Linked DNA regions of Caenorhabditis elegans. The protein of the gene in region 2 interacts with the protein of the main gene of each other region in a pairwise test. Each region holds a gene or a part of one and is shown on either strand. Other genes may lie near its edges.

Evidence for each region. The genes of interacting proteins can lie anywhere in the genome.
Region 1: the proteins of fbl-1 (region 2) and abu-10 interact in a two-hybrid assay, tested with the Caenorhabditis elegans proteins (one large-scale study listed by BioGRID).

What each region holds. Positions count from the first base shown.
Region 1 is NC_003284.9:3,796,642-3,800,243, reverse strand, and holds abu-10 (Activated in Blocked Unfolded protein response), read right to left. Parts: upstream 2,063-3,602; 5' UTR 2,022-2,062; coding exon 1,980-2,021; intron 1,923-1,979; coding exon 1,581-1,922; intron 1,532-1,580; coding exon 1,355-1,531; intron 1,310-1,354; coding exon 1,223-1,309; intron 1,181-1,222; coding exon 1,091-1,180; intron 1,047-1,090; coding exon 933-1,046; intron 878-932; coding exon 602-877; 3' UTR 503-601; downstream 1-502. Other genes in the region: F35A5.8 (SH3 domain-containing GRB2-like protein B1), read left to right, coding at 1-24.
Region 2 is NC_003282.8:9,539,160-9,545,757, reverse strand, and holds fbl-1 (Fibulin-1), read right to left. Parts: upstream 4,951-6,598; 5' UTR 4,907-4,950; coding exon 4,867-4,906; intron 4,714-4,866; coding exon 4,478-4,713; intron 4,431-4,477; coding exon 4,277-4,430; intron 4,158-4,276; coding exon 4,005-4,157; intron 3,724-4,004; coding exon 3,466-3,723; intron 3,031-3,465; coding exon of another isoform or gene 2,890-3,030; intron 2,791-2,889; coding exon 2,715-2,790; intron 2,672-2,714; coding exon 2,562-2,671; intron 2,464-2,561; coding exon 2,323-2,463; intron 2,225-2,322; coding exon 2,121-2,224; intron 2,080-2,120; coding exon 1,999-2,079; intron 1,953-1,998; coding exon 1,628-1,952; intron 1,540-1,627; coding exon 1,413-1,539; intron 1,264-1,412; coding exon 1,058-1,263; intron 892-1,057; coding exon 647-891; 3' UTR 515-646; downstream 1-514. UniProt on the Caenorhabditis elegans protein: Incorporated into fibronectin-containing matrix fibers. Plays a role in cell adhesion and migration along protein fibers within the extracellular matrix (ECM).

The DNA of each region.
Region 1 (3,602 bases), on a different chromosome or scaffold from region 2:
GTCAGCTATATTGAGCTGCTCTAGAAACGCTGCATTCATTAATTTATTGTCTTAGTACTTTGTTCATGTGCCAAAAATGTTTTAGTAAGGTGTCTTATTTATTGTGGAAGATCTCAATTGAAATGTGTCTATTTATTTGACTCCTCAAATGCGCTTATTATTGTATAGGTTATTTAGATTTAAAATAAATGGGAAATTTAAAGATCAAAAATTCGTTAACAATATTGAACACAATATAAAAAGTTTAGTTTTGAAGAAAACTCTCAAATCTCTTCTACGATTGCTGTTTTAGATAATGATAGAACCAACCCTTTGTGAAAATCTTCTGGTTTTCAAACTTCAAATAGAGTTTCCTAAAAGAAAATTGCATTTTTCTCAAATCTTTTTCAGTGATTTTGTTGTAATTTAGACGAAAATTGGTAATTTGAACATCATAGAAATGATTCTTAATCATTTTTTCATTTATATCTTCATTGCATATACTCATTGTGTAAAAGGAAATAATATAAAACTACTTTATGTAATGGCAATAATATTACCGAAATGTACAAATAGTTTGCGTGAAGTCGAAAAAGAAAGACATGGTCAGAAATGAGTTCGTTTAGGCGATCGATCGCTTTGCCTTGCGGTTGGTGTATCTGTATCTAAGACAGCAGGTCTGCTCGGCGCACTTGACGTATCCGCGTTGGCATACGCATTGGTTAGCATCGCAGGAAGTAGTAGCTGACGAATGTTGGGATTGTTGGTTGGTGTACGAAGCGGTGCACGATGACTGGCAAGCTGGCTGGCAAGCTGGGACGCACTGATTGATTGGTTGCGCTTGTTGAACTTGGACTTGGAAGGTTGGCTGAGCTTGTTGGGCGCAATCACAGGATGGCTGGAAGTTTAGATATCCATAGTTAATTTACTGGTCAAAAAGCAATAGTCTTTACCTGAGCCTGTTGGCAAGCGCATGGGTTTTGCTGAACAACTGGGGCACAATCACAAGCTGGCTGAGCTTGTTGGCAGCACGGGTTCTGTTGAACTGGGGCACAGTCGCAAGTTGACTGTAATTCACAAACTTAATGGAAAACTCTGGAGTGTGATTTACCTGAGCCTGTTGTTGGCAGCATGGGTTCTGCTGGACTGGAGCACAATCACAGGCTGGTTGCTGTTGGACTGGGGCACAGTCGCAGGCTGGCTGAAATTACCGGACTAAAAAAAATTGTTCAAAATGCCATACCTGAGCTTGTTGGCAGCATGGGTTCTGTTGAACTGGAGCGCAATCGCAAGATGGTTGCTGTTGGACTGGAGCGCAATCACAGGCTGGCTGAAACTTCAAAAGTTCATCCAACATTTACCAAATATATTGTACCTGAGCTTGTTGGCAACATGGGTTCTGCTGAACTGGAGCACAATCGCAAGCTGGCTGTTGAGCTTGTTGCTGACGGATCTCGATTTGGATGCAGGTCACACATGATGGGTTTTGTTGGCAGTCACAAGCTGGTTGTTGAGCAACTGGAGCACAATCACAGGCTGGTTGTTGTTGTGGCTGCAAAGATGGGTTACTTTTATTCGTCGCTCTTACATTAACAGCCTACCTGGCAGTCACAGGCTGGTTGCTGTTGAACTGGAGCGCAATCGCAGGATGGTTGCTGTTGCTGGCAGGCGCATGGATCTTGTTGAACTGGAGCACAGTTACAAGCCGGCTGCTGCTGTTGTGGCTGGCAAGCACATGGATCTTGCTGAACTGGAGCACAGTTGCACGCAGGCTGCTGCTGCTGTGGCTGGCAAGCACATGGGTCTTGAGCTGGAGCTTGTTGGACCTGAGTGTACTGAACCTGGACATTGATGGTGGATTGTTGGCAGCACGATGGTTGCTGCTGAACTGGGGCGCATGAGCAAGCCTGACGCTTTTCTCTAAGAGTTGGTGCCGAAAGTGCCTGAAAATGGCGGGGAATTTATAAATAAAATGGAATGAAAAAAAAAAGAAATCTCACCAGGGCGACAATAGCAAAAATTGAAAATGCAGAGCGGAACATTGCTGCTTTTGTTAGAGAGTATTCGAAGCCAAGCTACTACTGACAACTCAACTTTTGCTCCTCATATTTATACGCGCCCGCCGGGAGGAGTCATGGCAAGAGGGTAAGACCGGCATGCGCAAGAACAGGCGACAAAAAAGAACGAAGGCAGTTTCAATTGTGCATCAAACACAGATGAGTAGTTATGATCGGATTAGAGCACCTGTGGGAATATGGTAAGGAGGGGGAAAAAAGTTTAGTCAGAGAAAATGAAAACCGTGTGCTGAAAAAATGCGTGCACACAAATAAACATTGTTTGTTTTTGGCTTCTTGCGCACATGAAATTTTGCCGAAGACGCATACTATCCAAAGTGATGTTAGCTATAATATATTTCAGTCTAGTCTTCTAACCAGTTTAAAAACACTTCAATTGTGTCAAGAGAGATATTGGCTCACCAATTCAAAACTCGAGTCTACTAATTTTAGGCCCTACTTTACAAAAAAGTGTGACAGTTGAATCTACTGTACTTTTCCAATTTGTCAGACATTTTTTTCCTCTTTCGAGACAATAAATAACGGCCCAACGTCGCAAATGTGAATGTTTAAAAATTTTGTTTCATTCAATGTCCAGTGTTTTCCAATAGTTCACAGAATGTTCAAGTTGTAGAAGGTTCTCTTTATTCTCATTTGAAATTGTAATTTAATTTGAAAAAAATCGAGGTTAGGTTGCATTGTTAAGCTTAAATTTTTTCAAAGCATGACTAGTAAACGAACGACTATTTTGCACCGATTTGTAAAAAAAAAATTGATTATTATATCTTTTTAGTTGGAGTACCAGCAAGCTATTTTGAAGATCTTTCTTTTGTATCAAGTAATATTGTTCTGAAAGTATTTCTGAAAGGTAGTAGTTTAATATCCCATTTTCAGTAGAGCTTTTTTTCCCAATTTTTGTCTAGACCGTCTTGTAATATATCCGTTATAGTTTTCAACAATACGTGAATGTAGTGACACAGAACTTTCAATCTCCGAACACTTGCATTGAAAAGTTCAAGTGATGCGTTATTTGCAAATAGTCCGTAAATAGAGACCGCGTCATAGAAGAATACAAGCTGAGAAACTGGTTAACGCTTTCAGCTGTTGCATTTGCACAATCTCTCGTTGATTCTTCTCCCTCCCAACAAACAAATACAAAGAACCCCAATTATCACATTCTTCATTACTCAGACCGCTTGCCTTTACTTTAGATACCGGTTGAGGGGTTGAGTTGAGTTCGATTGCCGGCTGGATAAAAGGTTGCAATGTTTGTGTCTGAGGATGAAGGAAAGCAGCACAAAAAGTTGCGCCGGAATCGGATTAAAAGCTCAGGGGTGGTCATGTTACAGGAGAGTTGAGCAACGTACGAGAACCGGTACGTGAGCACTCTGTGCCGGCTCTGTTTTATCAGTGTGCCCGCAAAAACGCATGTACTTGAAATATATGTTCGTTTGATGTGATGAGGAACGTTTTCGAATTATGCGTGTTTTCAGACCATTGGGATGAGCTCAAAAGTTTGCTGGGAGGGGGGGGGGGGGAGGGTGATCTAGTTTTACATTAAATACTCAT
Region 2 (6,598 bases):
TCAACAAGTTAAATTTAAAGATAGTTTACAATTTTTAAGAGCTGCAGATCAATTGAAAAAAATACAAAATCATTTTTATCGAAAGGATCACAGAGTTCATAATTTTCCAGATATAACTCACTTACAAAATAACTCATGTACTCATGAAAACCTTTATAAATTAATGTTTATAGTCTACTACTAACCAATATTTCTTTCTTGAACAATTCTAAAGTGCCTTTGTCCAACATAATCCAAGTTGTAATCAACTGAAAATGGAACTCCCATATGTGTAACAATTCTTGACACTTCAATCGGTGAGATAATTGTTTTCAATGATGGGACTGCTCTGAATTGATAAAGAACTTCTCGTGTATGATTTCCAAGACATTCGGTATCTTCTGTTGAGCACACTTTGATGCAAGAATAACCATCAGCAATTTGGCTGAAAATATTTTAGACGTAAATTCAAAAATTTAAATTTACTGTTTCATTTCAGAAATATTTAAAATAATATTTTTATTTTATTCGATCTTGATGGGCTATACGAAACATGTCGAAATTGTCATTATCAAAATATTTATTAATCCATGCAAATTTTGAGATCATCACAGCAAGTCACACTATTCAAACATTATCAACAAAACAAAGTCATACAAAATTGTTTCTATCGAATCTTCATGAGCGGTGGATGAACCGTATTATGTCGCTTGTGAGCTGCCACATCGACAATCAGGTTGGCAGCGTATGTGTTGAAGTTTTTGCCTTTTTTGCTCATTCTGAGTAAAAGTTGCAATTTCACTGTCTGTGGTCCATCCAAACTATCCCGAAGTGTTACAACTGCACTATTTCGTTTTTCACCTTTTTGAAGTAAAAAATTAGCTCGAATAGCTGGAAGAACGTTTGGAGCACCTGAAATTAGGTGGGCTAGGGTTAGCGTAAAGGTAATCAAGAAAAACTGCTAAAAAACACTCTTCTAATATGACTTCCTAATTTTTTAGAAATGCTGAAGTATGTGTATTTCAGAGCATTTTTGAAATAGCAGTCTCTATAGATACAGTCAGTAGAAAATTCATACCAACTATAGTAGTCTTCAATTGTAATTCAAAGTTGACTTCAGTGTCTGCATGATTTGGAGCAGAAACTTTAAACAAAGTGATTGCAGGACGATGAGATGAAATAGGTACAGCACGTGCCAAAGAAATAAACTGATAGGTTAAGAATAATGGTACTTTTGAACATTCTTCAGGCAAACCACATGCTGATGGTTGACGATTACAACGACTGAAAATATTGTTAGTGGAACATTCAAACGTATTAGTTCAGATACTTTGCAGACATCCAATTTTCTATTAAGACTATTCATGAATTGGGAAATTTCAAGAAAAATTAGGGTAAGCTTATGCAAAAATTATATAGCTTTAAAAACTAACTTTTTGTTCAACGAGTCGTGAATATAGTTAGTTGGGCAATCGATGGAATGACATTTGAACGATCCAAGTGTATTAACACATACTTTATCCGATCCAGCGCATTCTCCCATGGCACACTCGTCAACATCTAAAAGTATTTGCAATGTCATAAAATTTAACTGGAAAACCATTTTCGAGACAAGAATTCTTGTTCACGAAAGTGAAGTTCAACGAACCAACACAAGTTCTTCCATCCGGTTGAATTTTGTATCCAGGTGGACATTGACACAAATATGATCCTTTTGTATTAATACATCCTCCCATGCACAAATCGTTTCCAGACCCCGCCCAAATTGAGCATTCGTCAATATCTTCGCATTTTGTTCCATCAGGACCAAGTGCAAATCCTCGATCACAAATACATTGATAACTTCCAGGAATGTTAACACATTTCTGTTCACATGCAGCAATTCCAGTTGTACATTCATTCACATCTTCACATCGACGACCATCTGAAGCAAGCTGGAATCCTGGTTTACACTTGCATTCAAATGAACCAATCTGAAAAGTGAACTGAAAATGAGGAAACTTCAAAGCAAATTCGTACAGTGTTAATACACTCGGCTGATAAATCACAAACATGACCAGCAAACTTGATACACTCATCAACATCTTCACATCTCTTCTTCTGAAATAAATCTTTTTTGTGATTATTTTTTTTCTTATTACCGCATCATTAAATTCATATCCAGGTCCACACTTGCATTTGTACGTTCCCGGAAGATTTATACATTCCATTGATCCACAGACTCCTTGTTGGCATTCATTCACATCTGAAAACCGTATTTTATGGTTTTAAATATTTTAGAGTTTCAGTGATATTAATTGAAAGTAAACTTTAAATTTCATTAGTCACAAATAAAAAACGTACCTTCACAGAATCCAGTAGCTCCGTTAACTTCATATCCATGAGCACACAGATTTCCTTTTTGTTGGCATCTGAATGATCCAGGGGTGTTCACACATTCTTCACCAGCTCCACAGTTGTGGCCAGTAACACACTCATCGATATCTGGAAAGTATAGTATAGTCTCCCCTTGTAAATATTATGAAACATTAATTGTTTTTAGTTTAACAACTGAAACACAATATGATGTAATAAAGACTCGCCATTGCACATTCCGTTCTTTGGATAATATCCATTTGGGCAAGTAATCGATGTACATTCTCCAGTCATTGGATTCTGAAGTTCTCCATCTCCACATTTTTTTGCGTCGCATCTATAATTTAATATGAATTTATTTCAATGTTCCAATCACGAACCTATAACTTCCTTGTGTATTTCTGCATTGATAGAGTGGTCCACAGTCATGAGATCCCAAATTGCATTCATCAACATCTTCAACAAAAAAATATTTACAATTAAAAGTGTTATTCAAAATTATCAGAAAGCAATTGTTTCTAGAAGACGCCAAAAATTAGAAACAAAAATTCAAACCACGACACCGCTCAGTTTCAGAGTCCATTGCATAACCAGTTCCACATGAAAGTGTTCGGATGCATTTAAAGCTTCCAGGAGTATTCAAACATCGTTGAGATTCCAAACAATCGTCCATCAGTGTGGCACACTCATCAATATCTGGAGTTAGTTTTGGTTAGTTTTTCAGCAAGCGAGTTTGTCAGTGATGTTCAAAATTTTCGAAAAATATTATATTGTCAATTAACATAGCTTCCAATTTCTCATTCAGTTAGTCATTTAAAAAGCAAGAACCTTCACACTGCGAGTTAGTATCACTCCAATAATATCCTCGATTGCAGACACAGGAACCATCGCCACGATTATTCCCAGGAGAGGGTAGACAATGTTGATTAGAATGTGAACATGGATGATGGAGAGAACATTCTAGGGATTGAGGGTTAGACAGACAGCACACGACAAATATTATTTCAAGAAACAGTTAATTTAGAATTAGATTAAACTTTAATTTTTTGAATTTAAAGTGCGCAAAAAACAATAAGCACACAACTTTTTAAATTTTGTTTTTTTTTTAATTTTCTTGTTAAATTATCTTACCAACGCAATGTCCATGTTGAAAAAGCCATCCCATTGGGCATCCAAACTCTGTATTTGCTTGTGATGCTTCTCTATATTCTCCAGCACGAGAATATGGATCGTCTCTCATTCTTCTTGGCGCATTGCCAATTCGATTGGCACGATGACGATGGGGAACAAGACGAGAAATTCTTCTCTGACAGATATATCCACCAATTGTGTTAACACAATCTTCAGACTGGGTACATGGGGATTGGCGGGTTAAACATTCGTTACGATCTGAAAGAGAAGCACAAAAGGTATGTGGGTAAGCTAGAGGACCGGGAATGGATGTAGTGAAAGTGGGAAAACTTTTTTCTGAAATCGTGAAATAACAAAAGAAAATTATCAAAGCTGCCAATTTGCATAAAATACATACCAATTTTCAGATAAACAGTGTGATGTTAATTTTACTATGTATTTTACTATTAATTTTATTATTTTCCATTCAAAATTAAATTTTCGAAAAGTTCTAACTTGGTTTTGACCTGCACAAAAAAAAGCGTAAAACATATTCATACCTACACAAGCCATTCCATCTGGTGCCAAGTCGAATCCAGATCTGCAACTGCATTCAACCTTTTCGCCTCCACGATCATGACAGAGGTGCTCACAGTGAGATGACGCACATCGGTCGCCGAGATGAAGTACATGTGGATCATTGAGTGGACGTCCTGTAAAACATGAAAAAACAATTTTAACATTAAATCGGGTATTTTTTATGAAAAGTTCCGAATTAAATTATTTCAATTTTTTAAAAAGAAATAATATTGAAAATGTTCTGTTTTCCTACCAGTTATGATCTCGGAAGCATGTGTGATTTCAATGTCACCATTACAACATTTATTGAAACTTCTCAAACATCCAGCTGAAAATCCAACTGGAGCAACACACGGTTCATTTCGATTGAGCAAATCTTTGGCTAGAAGACAGCAATCACAACACTCCTGAAATCCATCTCAATTTATATTTTTATTCGATTTTTTAAAATTACTTTTTTCAATCCACCTCCCAAAATATTTATATTACTTGGGCAGCTCTCCTCTTCTTTTGCAATATCTGTACCAGAGTCACATGCATTATCCAATAAACTTCTGAGACAACATATGGATGCAGCTCTTTGGCACGTCATACTTGTTCCTTCGCTTTTGATACTTGAACAAGTATTTGAATTCTTGAAATGACGAGTTCCTCCAGCACAACATCTTGTAAGTTCGTTGGCAAAGGTCTCTGAAAATTTTGAAAGTTTCCCGTTGTTTGTGATAGTTTTCTTTTTATGGATAATGTTAGAAAATGGCCTATTTTCAAAGTGTTTTTGAGGGCCCTCTTTATTAATTATTCATAAAATTTAAATAAATATTTGAAAAAATTTAAAAAGCTTACCTGCCACCAAAAATGCCAATAATAAGAAACAAATTCGCATATTTCTATCCAATCTACTAAAATTTCCACGGGGTTTCCGTAATTCTGTAAGAAAGCAGATAATGTTGTAACGGAAACACAAAAAGTTGTGAATTGGAACGGAAGTGGCACGACACAAAGAAAATGAGTAGGATTTCGAGGAAAGATCAAATAATATCACATCATCATGTGCTCATTTAGATCATATTTCGTACACAGGGCAAGTAAAAAAAGTTTGTACTGAAAACTTTCAGATTTTTAAAAAAAGAAGAATAAAAGAAAAAACTCCCATAAAAACAATGAAACTGATAAGAATTTATGAAAACGTGTGAAAACCTCACAAAAGCCGTTTAGTGATAAGTGTTACGCAAGACGCAAAAAGAATGATAAAACAGAAAATAATAACAATAAAAATAGCACAACATATTACTATTCTTATCACATTTTGCTCAAAAATTCGTTGTGTCTAAATCGAAAAGCTTTCCAACATTCCCGATTTGGAACCGCCCATCTATCTGCTTCTGCCTGCGTCTCATGTTCCCGCATTTTCCTTTCTAATCTAAGCTTATTGTTATTAATATTATTGAGATGTATGTAGATGTATATGTGCCCGTAAATGACACGGATAATAGTCTGGTTAATTAAGTGAAACAATTTCAAATGAGCATTGAAAGGAAGAGGGAGGAGCATTGGAACAGATGTTTACATGGAATGTTTCGAGGAAATGTGAGATTTTGGGTATATTTTTAGAACAGAAAAATGGCAAACGACACTGTTGAAACCAAAACAAAAAATTTATTTGAATTATTTTAGTTTTTGAAAATATTAAATTGAAAAAAAACGGTCTTTCATTGGAATAGCGCAAAATTGATCGACGGGGTTTATGGTGGATTTATAGTTAAAATCGGAAAATACCTATCCGATTTTTGTTTTACGTTTCAGGGCAACAATCATACTTACTCAGAATTTGGAGCTGACTTCTTGAGCAGTTTTTTCCCAAAAAATAGACTTGGTTGAGAAGTTGTGAAGCTTTTGCACAGTTTGAGTTAGACTTGTGAAACCATTATGAAGCTATTACCAAAGTATCTACAAGTTTGAACAACTATTTCCAATGTCTTATCCAATGTTACAACGACACAAAAAAGTTTTTGTAAGATACTGGCAAGAGTTTCCCAAAATTCTCTCTTGTTCTAGAGTTGGAAACGAAAATGGATAAAAAATAAACGCCAAGTGTTTTACAAGTTTTTACAAGTTTGCATATTTACAAGTTATATACATTTTCAAACTCGAAAACAGTATTTTCATAATCGGCAAGTGACTCATCTGTTTGAAACCTCTAAATAAAAAGTTTAACACTCAATCGCAACATAACACAATGTGAGAAAATGATACATCGTCAGTCAGTCAGCAGTCTTCTTCATCTTTTTTCTTTTCGTTTACATGATCAGAAGCATTTTCGAGGGCGGAGCTCGTAAAAAGAGATCGTAAACGATGGAGGAGGAATGAGTTCACATGTGATGGTACACATTCAGAAAATAAAATGAAAATCTTTTTTGAACTCAAAGGCATGAATGTTGGAAAAACATTGGGAAGTGGGGAAAATGGTGGGAAGTTTCAGGATTTGATTATTTTTGGTTAAAAATCCGGCAATTTCTTTTCTCGTTTGTATGAATATATTTCTTTTCTCGTTTGTATGAATATCTATATTTTAACC